Caenorhabditis elegans: one gene and its partner. The protein of the gene in region 2 purifies or fractionates together with the protein of the main gene of each other region. This does not show direct contact. Each region holds a gene or a part of one and is shown on either strand. Other genes may lie near its edges. The genes, in order: F15B9.8 and F59B1.2.

What was found.
Region 1: the proteins of F59B1.2 (region 2) and F15B9.8 fractionate together in Caenorhabditis elegans (co-fractionation; one large-scale study listed by BioGRID). This does not show direct contact.

The regions. Positions count from the first base shown.
Region 1 is NC_003283.11:12,986,734-12,992,691, reverse strand, and holds F15B9.8 (Beta/gamma crystallin 'Greek key' domain-containing protein), read right to left. Parts: upstream 4,137-5,958; 5' UTR 4,132-4,136; coding exon 4,054-4,131; intron 4,004-4,053; coding exon 3,919-4,003; intron 2,516-3,918; coding exon 2,399-2,515; intron 1,111-2,398; coding exon 980-1,110; intron 744-979; coding exon 648-743; 3' UTR 508-647; downstream 1-507.
Region 2 is NC_003283.11:3,631,324-3,635,437, reverse strand, and holds F59B1.2 (uncharacterized protein), read right to left. Parts: upstream 2,098-4,114; 5' UTR 2,094-2,097; coding exon 1,996-2,093; intron 1,915-1,995; coding exon 1,719-1,914; intron 1,567-1,718; coding exon 1,498-1,566; intron 1,025-1,497; coding exon 902-1,024; 3' UTR 760-901; downstream 1-759. Other genes in the region: srx-41 (7TM GPCR serpentine receptor class x (Srx) domain-containing protein), read left to right, coding at 116-383, 686-750; F59B1.6 (Serpentine Receptor, class I), read left to right, coding at 3,747-4,061.

The DNA of each region.
Region 1 (5,958 bases), 9.4 Mb from region 2:
TATTTTCTGAAATTTGAAAATAAATGTTTTGAAAAATTTGAACTTCGTTCAAACAATTATGATCTTTCTAAAATTAAATGTAGGAGTTTCATTTATTTGAGTCAAATTTTGAAATTTCACTTTAAATTTAACGTGGAGTAGTGGGGAGAAATTATTCTAAAAATTTGCTTAATGTTGCATTGTTTTTAATATTAAAACTGCTCGAACATTTTTGAATTTTTAAAAATAGTTGAAGCATGTTCTAATATTGTACCTAAGCATTTTAGGGGTTCAAACATGACAAATGCCTTAATTTTCTCTGTTTTTACTATTTTGATAGTGAGTATATTTCAACAAAACTTATAAATTTTCAATAACAATTTGTGAATTCAAATTAATAATAAAATTCTCATAATTGTCATTATTGTGTTATTCCCATTAATGAGCATTTGAAAAATTAATACCGATTCAATTTTTCCTGTAGGTCCCATTTGAGACCTCTCTTGCAGTGTCAAAAAAAAAAACAATAAATAAATAAATTATTATTAGATTGAATTGGAAAACGAAAATAACAATTAGTGCATACAATTCGAGAACTGACTGTGAGAAAATGAATGAATTATTAAATAAGAGGTCTCTGTGCTCCTCTCTTCGGAAATTGTTCGGATTTAGGCAAAATCTCCGCTAATCTCACGTTCGATGGACCATGGGTCGGCGGCAACTGGAATATGACCTTCTCCGGCGTCAACGTAGCATTTCTCAATCTGTAAAAACATTAATTGAAATCAATTTCTTCCGTGTTGAAAATAATTCAGATTTTAAATTATTGCAAAAAAAATTTATTACAAAAAACCAACAAAAAAATGAAGCTTCTCATCAAAAATTGCTCTTCAGATTGTATAAACTCGGAGAAATATGATCCGCGGAAAACTTTTTTGGTTAACCACCTAATTTCAATGAACTTATCACTGAATAATTTTATATAAAAGGAAAATCTCACCTCAATAGCATCTCCGTGGCATACAACACGAAGAGCTGGTTTTCTGGAAACACATGTACGAACTCTTGATCTCTCTCCATTTTGGCACATTGACCATGAAGTCCACTCAGTCCATTCTCCGAACGCCAATCCTGAAAAGTGATTATTTTAAGAGAAAAAGAGATAAGAACAGATTAATGTTCTAATGTGATAGACTCTCTCAAATCTCTCAAGGGAATCAACAACAAAATATTGAAACTTGCAAATCGAATCGAATTAGACACGATGCTACTAGTGGATACATCTTTCATGTTTAGCTCTTTTTATATCTCATATTATATGCGTCTTTCAGTTCTGTCATAAATATTTTATAAAGTGTTTGTATTCTTCTTGATAGTAAATTCCAAGAAATTATACTAAATCATAAGAAATATGATTCTGATAAATACGAATCCCGTTTTCGGAAAATTGTTAACTACAATTTTCAATATAGAGAAGCCAAAGAGCTGTTCGTTGATTCCATTTCAAATCGTGATTTTTTCTTAAAGTTAAATTAAGTCTCTTTTTTTGGGATAAAAACTTCAAAATACCCAAAGTAGGTTTCAAAATATTATTTCATTTTTAAATTTGTCTGTAATTCTCGGCTAAATTCAATAAAATTCGCCTAATTTTGATAAACTTTAAACAGAAAATAAGGTTTTGGTTTTTTTTTTTTATTTTTATTAGTATAAGCTTTAATTATTTTTCTTATTTTTCAGTTAGTTTCCACTCAAATTTTTTTAAAATAGTTGCAAAAAAACTTCAACATATTTCCAATCTGATTTTGCTGATTTATAATACAAACTTACAAAAAAATCCATCTTCAAAAAGTCTCAAAATTTCAAAATTGATTCGGTTGAATCCTTAAATTTTAAAGTTCAAGATTACTAATTAACAACAATCTTCTGTGAGGACACACCCTGCAGATTCTTTCCCGATTTTTTTTGACTTGTAGTCTTCTCCAAGTTCTTAAACTAAAAATTGGATTATTTTTTTTAATGTCAAAAATAACAACTAATCCTTTAAATAACTAATAGAAGATCATTTAATAGATAATTCCGAGTAGTCGTCAAATTTCAATCAAAAATTCAGAATGTTGCCCCTGCGCCCCTAGTTTGTCTCATAATATTTTAAAATATTCGTCCTTTTCTCTATTATTTTTCCAAAGCCGCCTACTTCTTCTCCATTCCTTCTTTCTTTGTTTAGACGCCCTGCTCCAAAGCTTTCTTTAACCGATAGAGTAATTTTGTTAAAACGTGTCTATTTCTACGACTTTCGCGCTTATTCTCACGGAGCCATGTCCGAGCAGCTCACACAGCTATGTGATAATTCTTGATTTTTGTTGTTTTCTATTCTCCGATATGGTCACACGTGTTAGAGAAATGTCAATTAGTGGCTTACTTTCTGGAATTCTTCCCGAACTCCCGGAAAGCATTTGTGTTGGCAAGTCAATTGAAATTGAAGCTTCGTTTTGCCTCACACCAGCTGCTTTGGCACGCACTTCAGCAATTTGATCGTCTGAAAATTTCACACTATTTTATAAAATCAATTTACTATTTATTTTTTCATTATTAAAGATTTTAAAACATTTTTCTATGGCTGTAAAAATATTGACAAACATTTGACAATAATACGTCAGTGCTTTCTCAAATTATTTTCTGCTCTAAAGACTCTAGAGAAATCTGTGAATTTTAAAGAATTGTTCAGCACTGAAATTTTAAAGATGGAGAAGTGTGGCACCACCATAATCAACTATCATAATAATAAAAAATTCAAAAAACTTTAAAAAATTGGGAAGATCTCAATTTTTGCCATTTGTTTTTTGAATTTCGTCAATCAAAAATTTTCCTTCGAATTCTACATACAGTCTACTTATGTTTGAAATATTAATATCCAAGCAATGAAGGGATTCAAAATTTTGATAATGCTTAAACTTTATCAAAAAGTAGCGAAAACTCACTAATTACCACTTTTTGACTGTCAATAAAAATGTTTAAAAAAATTTTTTGGAAAGTTTTCATATGATATATGGAAGTTTTGCTATAATGGTCGTTTTAGCATCATAGCAGTTGTTTTTAACAATATATCTACCTTTAAGAATATTTTTTCGTTCAGAACAGTTCATTTTTCAGGAACTTGGAAATATTAGAAAACTAGATATGTCGCAAATAATATGCCTTTATAAAAATTAAGATAAACACCAAAATGTTCATTTTTAACCAAATCAAACATTTTGACCGTTTACATATTATCAAATAATTACAGTCTCGAAGATTTCAAAAAGTGTTCGGCATCTTAAATAAACGATTCAACAAAATGGGTTATTTGTGTTTCTTTCTCCGAAAACTAAATCCCATGCCAATATTTTTAACAAGTAAAAGCTGACAAACAATTGTATGAGACTGAATTTTTTGAACAATATTTGTTCACAATTAGCCAGCGTGTCCCTTAGCTTCAGGTAGGTGTCGAGTTACTTTCAAATGATTTGAGAACTAGTAGCTTTCCCTCCGCGCCAATTTCATATCATATTCCCCTTGTAAGTAAGTTAGTTTCCTAATCTTTTATTTTCCGGTGTTTTTGTGTTTTTTTACATTCTCCTAGTTTTTCTAAAATAAAATTAGCCGCTAACGAATGTTACTAAACAACATGAATGAATACCTTAAATTTTGTGATAAACCTATCCTGAAAAACAGAAACAAATTTTGTGCCTACATAAAGCTCGCTAGGTATTCTAGAGACATTCTCCTAAAAATTGAAAGTAAAAATGTTTGCCTACAGTGTCAGCATACGGTAAAGTGATTAATTATCACAGCCGGCAGACTAAATTTTTCATTAGTGCCATGCTTTCAATAATCTATTTTCAAAAATAATTGTAAAACAATTTATATCTATTGATTCCACCAGGCAAACATTTCACTTACTTGTAACTGCAGAAGCTGGCTGAAGAGGGTGGAAACTTTCTACGAGATCAAATCGTGCTCGATCGTAAGCTCCCAAATTCACTGCCTATAATTAATTCTCTATTTATTTTTCAACCACTAAAACAAAAAACTTACGTCTTGATCATCTATATTAACAGCAACTGGAATCGCTGAAATAAGGGGTAAGAGAGCGAGCAAGATGCACCGGTTCATGTCTTCTGAAATTGGGTAGGAATCAGAAAATATAAATAAGCAAAAAATAAGTATGTGAGAAAATAGTAAAAAGAATACAAATTTATAGGGAAAATCGAAATGACGTGTGAATGGCATAAACATGCCAATAAATCAAACCACTTTCACATTTATTCATTAGTATCTTAAATCTGGTCAGTAAGGCGTGACTAATAGTTCTAGATTCTAGACAATTTCTCTAAATAATCACCACTTATGGAACGGGTACATGTAGAATATATTGTTGCGTAATACAAATGTGTACGTTCATATCCAATTCCATGAACGGACAAGTGATAAGAAAAAGTAAAAAGAAAACGACAAAAGTTATAATCACGGATAAATTTGATGAAAGGTACGCATCTAATCTCATGTATTTGTACATTTGTGGATAGTCGACAAAAAGATGGGGGAAAGGGGCCGAAATAGTCATCCGGAGGGCGGAGGCACTCGCAATGAGGAGACTGGTGTCGATAACGATAAAATGGGTTGAGGGAAAAGCGAGAAAAAAATCGAGTTTTTGCAATGTTGTCCGCTTGTTTGATGCATCATCAACCTTCGCGATTTACATGGCTAACTGGATTTTTTCGGCATTTTTCCACATTTTTCCGTCTAATGATTGGATATTGAGAATGTGCGAGGGTTTTTCATTGTGATGTGATCCTTTGAATAAAAAATCGAGAGTGGATTTACCTAGGCGGAAACGATACGATATCAGCAAGAGTTTTAAGATATTCTGGGTCAGACTTGAGAAGCACGTGATAGAATTTTGACCTTTTGAAGCAAATAGAAGCCTAAAATCATATTGACAATTCTAACGAGTATTTTTTTGTAACTAATATGGTACAGAGTTCTAGGGTTTAATTTGTTCACACACGTCATTTGGGAGCTACAATCAGAAAAAGGGTGTAGGCTCAAATTTAATGAACAAAATTCATGTCTGTACGAAAAGATTTTCCCTGTGATTGATTTGAGTTGAGATAATTTGCACCTACAAATGGTGTACGGGACCTAGCTTTTTACTAATATAAGTTTCAAAAAAGCTTTTCAAGTGTAATGAGCACGGATTGCAATTTTCGTCCATGTCCACTGTTTAATCTTGTAATTTTGAAACTCCAACTTTTGTATATTAAATTAAAAATGAGTATCAATGTTTATTTAAACAATAGACCTTTAACTATGTAGACCATTTCTTAGAAAAACCGACAAAATGATGGCTGTTATTTTGAAATTTGAATAACTAAAATCAAAATTTCAAGACCTCGATGCAATCTTCGTCTATTATAATTATTCCTCCTCCCATATTCAATGTATTTTATATCTTTTTCCATATGTGTTCCTTTCTTCGTTATCATTGCCCTCATAATATTCAAATTCTCAGGTATAGCCATCTCCCCAACACACAACTAAACAAAATGATAATTGGCGACAAGATCAATCGGGATGAGGTGAACAACAGGTACGGTCTGAATAGAAATTAAGTTGTTGATTATTGGCGGGTGGAAAGAGGAAGGGAATCCTTGAAGAGATAGGAATGCATGCCACGGATGCCGTGATCCGTCGGCGGTGGCCCATCGATGAAAAAGTGCATTACACTGGCAAATGAAGAAATAGAGGTGATAAAGAAACAAGAGGGTTGCTGATGATGATAACCGGGTCGAAGATGTTGCCTTTTTCACCCTCTATTACACTTCATTGCTGAAACTGGATAATGACGATTAGTTGAATAAGGAACACGTCTGGATGTGTTCGATTTGAACATAAGACAGTTAAGAAATCAGTTTTGAGAAGAAAACATCAACGAACATA
Region 2 (4,114 bases):
TAGGAAACGCTGTATTAGTATTGTAGGATTACTGTAGGAAACAATTTATCTCCAAGATTGCGAGATTACTGTAAGTATAATATATGAGTACTGTACATTGTATATATTGTTTCAGAAGCTTTTGTCAGCCAACTGTGCCCAGAGCCAGAAAAAGCGACAGCGGGAGATCACATTCGTCAAGCAGGCTCTGATTCAGGGAGCAGTTTTTGCGACGGAGCTCGTCTTCTTTTTCATAATCTCCGGAATGCAATCACAGCCGGTGGCTATTTTCCTGTGCACGACGGTAGCGTGGAGTTTGGTGCATACTATTGATCCGTTGGTCTTGATTCTTTTGAATCGCGAGTTTCGAAACATGCTGATGAAAAATCCATTGACGAAGAGAAGTGAGTTAAGGGCAATATCTTAGATAAAAGAGTGGGTTCTCGCGGTCCCAAACTAGTGTCGGCTGCAACATAAATTACAAACTGCAAACTGCTTTTGTCTACTGTGCATAGTGCAACTATTTATCTGAAAAATAGTGCCAAACCCAGAAAATGTCGGGCGCTGCGCATTTAGTCAGCTTCCCTCACCACAGATCGGCCAGATTCCCTTGTGCGCAATTTTCCAAAGTTTTTACGACCAGTGACGTCACAAACTACAAACTACAAACTAGAATGTGTATATATAGCTATGCAATTTTTTCCAGCCACCCGAGTCACCTACTCGATCACACAAGCGATTGATAACACGAGCTCTCACACACACAATTGAAAACTAAATATAAACATTTTATTGAATCGAATCGATTGTATTGATAAAACAAAACGTGATTGTGATGATGATGGTGATGGTTAATTCTTAATTTGCTGATAAGAATAATAAATGATATAGTTTTTGAATTCAGTGTTTTCAATGTAAAAATCTATTGATTGTCAACTGGCTCCACGTGCTGGGCTTGAGCGTGGTGAGCATTGACTACTGGAGCATTTTCGGCGTCGAGGGCGGCTTGAGCGGAGGCGAGCTCACGTCGGAGTTGCTCGACGTACTGAAAATTTGAGAAAAAGTAGAATTTAGAAGTTGCAAAACAAGTTTGAAAATTTGGAAAAAAAAATTTTGTAGCACACGGTTGTGCCAAAGTTTTTTCAAAAGAAAGTTATATAGAAATACAGATAAATATGTTTTTTTTTAATGTTTTGGAAGTGACTTTAAATTTAATTAAACTTTAATTGAAAATTTGGAAAAATTGCTAAAAAAAATTGCCTCAAATATTTTTCACTTTCCTCGGCACACACTTGTGACTTTGCAGTTTTTCTGGAATTTTTCAAAATTTTCAATTAAAAGTTAAAACCTTTTCCTGTGTAAATTTTGTAGATAAAAATTTGACGAAAACATGAGAAAAAGTTTTTTGAAATTAGGAAATATCAGTTTTAAAACAAAATTTATTTCATTTAAATTTTTTTCCAAAAATTGGAATTAAAATTTTTATTTAAAAAAAAAGATGGAAATATCCAAACTCACATCAGCGGCTTGAACGGCATCTCTCTGCTTTCTGCACTCAAGTTTGCAGGTCTCGAAGGCGCTGGTCACCTGAAGAATTAAAGTTTGAGCCAACTTTTAGATTTAGTAAAATCTTCAAATGTTATATTTTAATTTTTTAGTAAAAAAAAAATTTTTTTTAATAATTTTTTACTCATTTTTTAGAAATCCATCAAATTGATATCAAAACAATTGACGCTGACCTTCAATGACTTTGGTGGAGAAATTTTGTGCTTCTGGGCAACTGGCTGCTTGACGACAACAACTTCCTCGGCTTCTTCAACTTCTTCTGGAGCATGATGAACCTCTTCTGGTGCTGCTTCGTGAACAACTTCTGGCTCATCGACGATCACAATTTTCTCAGCTTTCACCTTCTTCACTTTCTCGGCTTTCTCAGCTCTAAATAATAAATTTTATTTCAACGGAAATTATTATACAAAATAATTCAAAAATCAATTTTTTAATTAAAAAAAAACTAACTTTCCACCCTTCTTGTCCTTGGCTACCTTCTTGCAGTCAATTGAAGAAACAAAAAGAAGTGCACAGATGGCAAGGACTACAATTGTCTTACGATACATTTTTCTGGAAATTTTGAATTTTTCAAATTATAAATTTTGTGTAGGAAAAGCTGAAAGACAACAAAAAATGCAGAGAAAAAAAATTTTTAGAAAATTTGCATAACTCAAAATTTATTTTTTTCAAAAGTAATATAAAATCACGCCCAAATTGTTGTTAACCCTAAATCTCATGACAAAAAATATAGCAGCCGACATCTCACATGACAATGAATTGGCGATAATTTCTGAACTGTTTGTGGCTAAAAAACAAGATGAACACTTTGGTTTTTGAGTTATTGGTGTTGTCATAATTAATGTGAAAACTAACTCGTGAGATGCTGGTCACTACATTTTTTTTTTAAATTTAAACACCTTTTTTTAATTGGTAATATATGTATAAATAGCAGAAATGGGAGGTTTTCTGTGAAATACTTATTAAAACTGTGATTCAGAAATACCACAAAAAATAACAGAAAAAGTTGAAAAATTATGAAATATCCATTTTGCAAAAACGTGGACCAATCAGCGATTAGCGCCGCCCACTTTTGAACCAATCAAGCCAAGTAGGCGGAGTTGAATGACGATGGCTGGTTTGAACGGGGATTTTTATTTTGAAGTACATCTTTTTTCAAAACTTGGTTTTTTTTCGTTTGTTTCTTTTTTTGGAATTTTTGGAATCCAAAGCAAAATCTCCACAGATTAAAAGGTTTCTTCTAAACTAAATAATCATAAAATAAACCTGATCAAGTTTAAAAATCGAAAAAAAACCGGGAGAAAAAGTGTCACCAACAATTGAGAATAGATAGCAATCGATGAAGCTTATAAGCACAATCACACTGATAACGTACTGTTTTCTGCACTTTTCACCAATTTTTGTGTACGTCAAACTCGCAGAGCATTGACGTAAATTGATCGAAATAGAGCGGTTAAGGAAACGTCGCTTGAAGAAAAAACTGGGAAAATTTGGTGGGAGAGATCACGCGGGTTGATGTTTTGAACGTTCATAGATGAGTCTGGAGTGGTGGTTTTATCTGTAAATTTTAGATTGTGATCATTAAAAGTATGGTAAAAACACAAATATTTTGCTTGTGGGAAGTGGTCAGGAGTTCAGGTTTGAGGCAATGATGCAATATTTGGGATTACGTTTGAAAATGTGAAAACTGAAAAATGTTATACGAAAACTGAAAAATGTTATACGAAAACTGAAAAATGTTAGACGAAAATTGAAAAATGTTAGACGAAAACTGAAAAATGATAGACGAAAACTGAAACATGTTAGACGGAAATTGGAAAAAAAAATTGAATTTCGGAATCTGAGTAATATATTAGCTCACGCAACAATTTTTGGTAAAAAATCTTTTCCGAACAATTTAAATTGTATGCTTTTTCCACTCAAGTTTGTTTTGGTCTTTAGCAAAAAATTTTCTAAAGGTCAAATTCTGATTGGGTATTTATCAAAACCCACCAATTTCAAAAAATACACGTCACCAAATTTAAATGCAAAAACACCTTTAGATTATTCATATTCCAAGTCAAAGTGAAAAAGAATAAAATTTAATCATAATATTATATCAGCTGTCTCTAAATTTTTCATTGTTCTTTTAACACTCAAAGCTATTTCTATGGTAACAACACATCGAGAAAAAATTTTAAAAATTATTTTTACCAGTGGATATGAACAATTTTTCTGTAAATTCTCACTTTTTCGCTGTAATTGAAAATGATAACCGGTCTCTGCAACTGCCACTTATGAACTTGATTAATGTTATTTCCACTATCATAGTATTTATTTTACTCTATGCAATAATTTCGAGAAAACGAAAAAAAGAATCTCAAATTTATCAGATAGTTTTGATAACTCATTGTTTCACGTTGTGGCTTTCTCAAGTTTATTGGGGAAGTTTTCATAGCCTCGTGTTTTTATTTCCATTTCCTGGATTATATGGTATCGGGTATCTTGCTCCATTTTTGAGCTCTTATGTTCTAGTGGTAAGATTTTTTTTTTAAACTTATTTACAACAGTGCTCTATATCTTCTCACCT